2 linked regions of the Caenorhabditis elegans genome follow. The protein of the gene in region 1 purifies or fractionates together with the protein of each later gene. This does not show direct contact. Each region holds a gene or a part of one and is shown in the gene's direction. Other genes may lie near its edges.

Region 1 (3,755 bases):
TTATCGTCAAGTCTGAAAATTCATTGATATTTAGGCATATGGGTAGGCAGGCATGAACTGGTACGCAGGCAAGAATGAGCTAGGCAGGTTGGTAGGCATGAGGTAGGCCCTTCGGTGAGCAAACGTAAACACACAGGCAGCCATGGTGTATACACGAAGGTGGACCCGCAGGCCCGTTGGTAGGCATGAACTAGGCATTTAATAGATGCCTTCTAACCATAGAGTAGGCACACGGGTAGCCATAAAGTAGACGTCTAGGTAGGAATAAAGTAATTATGTAGGCATGGATGCCTTACGTAGGCATGCATAAGGTAGACACGCAGTTAGGCTTGATAAAGGCACAGGTAGGCACTTTGCGAGGCAACTCTTATTCCACTAACTTCTCAGCAATGACCACATGATCCGTCGATCTCAATTCAGCACGTGTCTTGAGGTAAGTGTTCAATGTTTTCACCGTCTCAATTGTGACTTTTGGATCGACATACATCTCTCGCCATTCGGCTTCCAGCACTTTCCGGGCAAAGTTCGGAGGATCTTCCGGTTTTCGGAACAGAGATCCCGCCATGCGATACTGAAAATGAGTACATAAATATCAAATTATAACCGAAAAAGTAGGCATAAAGGCGACCTACGCCTGCCTCATGGCTGCCACTTTCATCAAGCATTTGGAAGTAGGAAAGTATAATTCTGGGCATAGTTTGCTCTCTGCAACACCTTTTCCGAGTACGGTAGCTTCCCAGGTCCGCTAACACCATCAAGCATAACTTTACAGCATGCCTAAATAGGCATGTATTAGGCTCCATTTGCCGGCAAATTGCAGAAACACCGCAAAATGCCGTAGTTCTCGTGGTTTTTGCGTATTTTCGAAGGTACAGTAACCCTGAAACTGTATGATGCGCGATACTCCAATGCAACAGTCTGCCGAACGTGTAATAGTATCCAAAAAAGTTCAGAAATCCGGAATGTATACCTTCTTATCGATATTTGCAGCATCAACTGCTAATTTTGACTTGACTTTCTCGAGCTGTCTCTGACTTTCACCCGATTCTTCAGATTCTTCAGAAGTTGAAGAATCTCGTGCCTCTTTCTTCTTCTTTCTCTCCTTTTGCTTCTTTTTATCCTTCTTGTTCTTCTTTTCAAGACTATTCTTCTTCTGAGTCGATTTTTCTTTTTTCTTCTTATCCGCTTTCTTTTTCCGTTTATCGATTTTTTTAATTAAGCGATCCTGAACACCGGTATTCTCAGATATTCCTCAAGCCTTTTGATCTTACCATTCGTTTTTCTTATACTTCTCGAACGCTGGTTTTTGAAGCAAACACCAACTCGGACCACCGTAAAATTGAAACTGAATTTTATTTGTTTTTTTTTCAAAACCTTCCCCCCTTATCTCCACATTCAATCTATTTAGCACTCACGCTTTCAATACTTTCAATTAAAAAAGGCGAAAATTATTTGTTAAATAAATAAAATTTATTCTCGCTATAGTGTTTAAACTTTAATTTAAATTTAACTATTTAAATTTGACTATTTAAATAATTTCAGACCCAATTCTTTCCCTTCACTGTTCAATTTAAATCGAGAATAGTGGCGCCGAATTTCTCTGCGACTACGGTCAAAAATTGCGGACTTGCCGCGTACACCATGACGCGCAATTGCACATGTGACATTTTTCTAGAAGATTTTCAATTTTTTTCGTCAAAAAACGTTCATTTCACCTCAGTTTTTTTAAGTTGGCTGATGAAATTATATCCAGAAATTTAAAATTCAAACCTATTTCCAGTTTCTGTCCGCTCTGCACTCAGATTTAGCATTTTAGGTCGATTTTCAGTGTTCTTGGTATCATTGCATTTTAAAATTCTTCGAGAAGATCCCGAATAACCGAACAGCTGCCAATGTTGCTATTCCAATTTTCTTTCGTTCATTTTATTCATTCCTCGAGAATATTCTGCGGGTTTGATATCGAGAACATTGTTTCGAAATGCTGAATTTCGTTTCTTTTTCTTATTTTTGAAAATCAATTCTCTTTCAACAACTTATACTTAAATAATTTTCTCTTAATTAAAATTTTTAACATGCTAATATTTTCAGTGTCTGTCAAGACGGAACTTGGATAAGAAAATGGCGCAGTCATCTGCGCAACTACTGTTCGATGAGAGCGGGCAACCGTTCATCGTTATGCGTGAGCAGGAGAACCAGAAGCGTATCACCGGAGTTGAAGCTGTGAAAGTATGTAATAATTATTTTTTTAACCGGAACATTTAGTTTCTAAATGTTATGTTTTCATGTTTGACAAGTCCTGAAGTTTGTTCTTAAAATTAACTTCATTATTTCAGAGTCATATTCTTGCCGCTCGTGCTGTGGCCAACACTCTTCGCACATCTCTCGGTCCACGTGGACTCGACAAGATGCTCGTTTCTCCAGACGGCGATGTCACCATCACCAACGACGGAGCCACTATCATGGAGAAAATGGATGTGCAACATCACGTTGCCAAGCTTATGGTTGAGCTCTCCAAGTCTCAAGATCACGAAATTGGAGACGGAACCACTGGTGTCGTTGGTGCGTTTTTTTTTTTGGCAGAATTCAGCGCGCACCTCGTAAAATTAGATAGCTTAAACTTATTATGATTATCATGTGAGAGTTGAATATATTTTAGTTTAGAAAACCTTTCCTAATATCAAGTAAATTCCTAGCGAAATTCTTTCCTCTGGTGATTCTCTATGAACATTTTTCGATTCATGTCTAGAAAATGTCCACATTTCTCCCTTTTCTTCGTCGTAACTAAACCGTGTTTGCTTTCCGATTTTTCCTTTTTTGGTCGCTGTCCTTCATTTTCTTCTGCTGTGTAGTTTCGTCTGCAGCATAGTTTAAAATTATTTCGGTTTAACGTTTGAAATTCACCTCAACTACGTAAACCATAATCTTGATAAACTTCGGAATAGCTTTGATAGTTGTAACAAGATTTTCATTTTAAAAAAGCAAAGAGTTGATGTTATTGTCTGAGCTTGTGGATACAGCCGGCAAATCGAAATTTTGATTGCAGGATTTTTTGTAAACGTCACCAGCAGCTGCATTTTAAAATGCCATTGAGAAGCAAATTCGTGAGCATTTAGAGTAAAAGAACTGAAATGTTCATTGATTTTTTCATAAAATGACCGTATTTTTATGATGACTATGAGAAGCGCACCTATTTGTTGACGTCATAAACCCGGAATAAGTCTGAATTTCGAGACAATCAGTCTGAGTCACTCGGCAAAATTGGTTATCGATAATTTTTCGTGCTGGTTATAAAAACGAACTCTGTACACATGAAATTCGAAGTGAAACGTGTTTCATCTGCAATCTTTTCTTTATCAGTATCACACATTAAATCGAAATACTTTCTATCGAAAATGTATATTTTGTTGTCACCCTCTGGTCATTCATGATAATTAATTTAAAAAAAAAAGAACCCTTAGCCGTTCCTTTAAAAGTTTGAAATGTTTGATCTATGAGAAAGTGCGCCTGCTCGTTGTCGATCGTTCTAACTAAACAATCCATTTGCTCTCCTTTTTCGCTGTGCCCGACGCTCCGACAAAATAAAAAACGAAAAGATTGCTCATTTTTCTGATGGTGTGAGCACACAAAAGCCAACAGTTGAATGGGAGGTCTGTCGATTCTCCATGTTCTTTGATTCTTCATTGTTTCTATCTGCACCTTTCTATGACGAAGAAATACACGATAAGCTATCTTTCTTTCATTTTTTCAAGTGAATG
Region 2 (3,755 bases), on another chromosome or scaffold:
CTTGGAGATATCTACGTTACCCTTTCCTTATTTTAAACTACACGCTCGTACTTGCCTATTGCATTCCAGTATATCTAGATGTTCCGGAAGATCAGGAAAATGCCAAGCGTGTCATGTTCGAGATGTATCCTCAAGCCTGTGAACTTGTCGTCTCCAAGTCTGTTATATTTGTGATGACGCTTGGTGATGATTATTGGTCGAACTTACGGGAAAATGCTCTGACAGTGTTGGTGTTAGTGGAGATTGTTGTCTTCGTTGTAGTGATAAGGGTGAAAATGAATAGAGCTACAAAGGATATTCAAACATCAATATCACGTGATACATTTCACAAGCATAGGATGTTCATAAGAGCCTTGAATCTTAAGGTACTTACTTGCCACGTCAAAAAAAGTTAGCGAAAAAATCAATATTCAAATTCAGATCGCTATTCCGATTGCGATCATCTTCATCCCGGCGGTCTTTGGTGCGTATCTAGCTTCACAAGATTCCGTTCAACAAGGTGTTGATAACTTACTGAACACTGTAACATCACTCCATGGATTATCAGCTACGATTCTGATGATATATCTGCAAAAACCATATCGTGAAGTGTTCCTGGCAGTGGTTCTTCGTCGAAAAAAGCCAGTTGAACTTAAAACTGTTCGAATCTTTTCTGCAACTCGAATTACTAAGAGTTTTGTGTGATTATCAAGTAACACTTATTTGATCTTATTTTAAAAAAAGTGAACACTGAAATAAAGTTAATATCATTCGCATGAACCAACCTGGAACCGGGAACAAAAAAAATTGAAGATGCTCATAAAATGCATAATTGAAATAATAGAAAACTATAGAATACAAAATCGATCGAACGTATGTATTATATTTCTCTCTTTTTTTTTAACTTGGAGACATTTCCTTTTAAAAAATCAGACAAGACATCGTTTTTGACTTTTATTTTACGTTTATTCGAATAATTCACTATGTAGTTCCTTCTTCTAACAAAGTCGCAATTTCAAATAGTCTATTTTGTTACAAAAAAGATATGAATTTTGATACAAAACTTCTTGACACCCCAAATATGCTAATCTTTTTGAATGTGTTACTAAACCTTAAAAGTTACCTTTTTTCAATGTTTTTTTTTGATTACCGTATATACTCCGGAGTTCCGCACTAATCTCCGGGTTTTCCGCGACTTGTGCACTATTAGAGACTGCCGCGGTACTCCCACTGGGCTATAATTTAAGCCTAGCCGGGGACTGTGGCCGAAAATCCAGTCATGGATTGCTCCACTTCCCAATAGACCCTGGTTGAACCTAGGAGGTAAGGCCGGACTTGAACTCGTGACCTCTAGATTACTAGCGGACACCACCACCGACTGAGCTATCGTGTCTCCGTGTATTAAAGCTACACGGGTCTTCTTAGAAAAGTTCATCACCTATTGAAACCACAAATAGCTATATTAAAGTGGAGTAGCGACTACGAATTGGATAAAACAATTCCACGAGTGCTAATGTGAACAAATATCATAGTTAAACTTGTAATTCGCACAAATTAGTTGTATTCAAGGAAATGTCAATCAATGAAGTCTGAACTTTGTTTTGTTTGTGTGCATTTGCGTGTTAGGACAATGCTTGCTCGAGTAATTTCATTTTCCTTCCAGTCGTTCTCCAAAACAGCGCACAATTACTTTTACTTTTCTCATTTAATCTCGGCTCGCCTAACATGCTTCTAACAATTCTCAAGGATCCATTTGTCTATTCCATGTGCTTCTATATAATTTCTGCATTCTCACTTCCAATTCATATATTCGGAGGGTACTGTATTCTGTATAAAACTCCAGTTATCATGAAATCAGTGAAATGGGCGCTGTTCAACCTTCATTTCTGGTCTGCCGCCCTGGATATTTCGATTAGCTTGTTCGTTCAGCCATATCAATGTACTCCAGCGTTGGCTGGGTTTTCAATGGGGCTCTGGGGTTGGATGGGAGTTCCACCACCAATTTGGACCCTTATTCATTTTGTTATTTTTAGATGTGAGTTTATTTTTTTGAAAATAGTGAACGAGAATAACCCCGTGCTCATATACTATGGTAACATTAAATTCGTAGCGAAAACTACTGTAGCAGCGCCAGTGTCGATTTACGGGCTCGATTTTCTTGATTTTTTTTTTTCAAATTTTCTTTAGTTTTACTGTAGTTTTTGCTACGAGAAATTTCGCGCGTGCCAGAATTCGTTGCGTGTTTTACAGAAACTAGGACCAAAACTTCAAAAGTTCACCGGGTTATATTTGGTGTTCGGTAGAGCGTATTTGCAGTTGAGTACAACTTGCCATGGTACAAACTAAATAACCTCGCTCATGATACTCATTCTGAAATCTTATATTGATATCTCAAAAACTTTCTATCAGAGAAAATGTTAAGTTGAGACATCCCCAAACTGGCTATACACGTGGCGTCATAGTGTCCCATGTCGGTTTGATTTACTTACAAGGGAAGACTTTCAGCTCGTCCTCGGACTTCCGAATGAAACCTATTATAATTGAAAGAGGACCTTAATAGAAGGTCACTCCAAAATTTTTAGTCTCGGAGGAGCACTTTGAAGTGGGTAAACATCGATCTGAAAAGCCCTATGCTCGAAAAACGCATGATCTTTGGATACCTATATCTCCGTGAAAAAAATTTTTATGGCCAAGTGATCAATTACAAAGCTGTTTATCATAACTTAAAGTACAACTTTGTAGTTAATTGTTTTTTATCAAAAAATTTGTTGGTCGTGATATGAACAGGAAAAGAAGATAATAATTCGAGCATGAATGTGACGAACTTTACACAACTTTATCTCGACCAACAAATTTTTTGATAAAAAACGATCAACTACAAAGTTGTACTTTAAGTTATGATAAACAACTTTGTAGTTGATCACTTTGCCATAAAAATTTTTTTCACGGAGATATAGGTATCCAAAGATCATGCGTTTTTTGAACATAGGGCTACTACTATACCTCAATTTTGGATGTTAAACTCGTTTTTTAACATTCTAACTATAGAAACATCCAGTTTTGCATGGTTCTATAACATCTGGTCACTTTATAGAAAGTTTTCGGAAAAAAATGCGCACAAAAATCATTGAAAATTGAAAAAAATATATATTTCTAAAAGCGAACGACTTGACTTGTACATGCACGGGAATGAATGTATTAACCCTAAAAGTTGGAAAATGTGCATTTTCAGAATGCTTCCAGACTTCCATGAGCGCAAGAAAAATTCGAAAAAAAAAATTAACCATGTCGGAAAACGAACCTACATCTATCATCTGATGGGCGAAGTGTTTACCACTGCGCCACCCATCTTCGATTTAAATTGAAATTATGTCGTTACTTATTATTTATGTTCTTCAAACTTCCCACTAATGCAAAATTAGTGCTTTTGAGTGAGGGTGTAGAGGCATATTTTCAGATCGCCGTTTACCCACTTCAAAGTGCTCCTCCGAGACTAAAAATTTTGGAGTGACCTTCTATTAAGGTCCTCTCTCGAATAAAATAGGTCTCATTCGGAAGTCCGAGGACGAGCTGAAAGGCTTCCCTTGTTAGATTTATAGAAAAAGCGGGAAATGAAACGCAGAGTTCTCAACTGACCTCACATGTTTCTGGGCAAAAAATTTCCGAATTTTTTGTAGATCAAACCGTACCCGTTTGTTCGGTGTAGCGCGTTTGCACTCATCTAGCTGCTGTACCACCGAATTTCTTAAAAGTCGGGCATCATATGTATTCTACCA

The links. The genes of interacting proteins can lie anywhere in the genome.
Region 2: the proteins of cct-5 (region 1) and srh-301 fractionate together in Caenorhabditis elegans (co-fractionation; one large-scale study listed by BioGRID). This does not show direct contact.

What each region holds. Positions count from the first base shown.
Region 1 is NC_003281.10:4,506,448-4,510,202, reverse strand, and holds the start of cct-5 (T-complex protein 1 subunit epsilon), read left to right. Parts: upstream 1-2,088; 5' UTR 2,089-2,118; coding exon 2,119-2,226; intron 2,227-2,333; coding exon 2,334-2,559; intron 2,560-3,755. Other genes in the region: F25F2.1 (Protein kinase domain-containing protein), read right to left, coding at 1-12, 381-571, 971-1,225, 1,272-1,274.
Region 2 is NC_003283.11:17,823,206-17,826,960, forward strand, and holds the start of srh-301 (Serpentine Receptor, class H), read left to right. Parts: upstream 1-1,704; coding exon 1,705-2,014; intron 2,015-3,755. Other genes in the region: srh-300 (Serpentine Receptor, class H), read left to right, coding at 1-365, 421-684.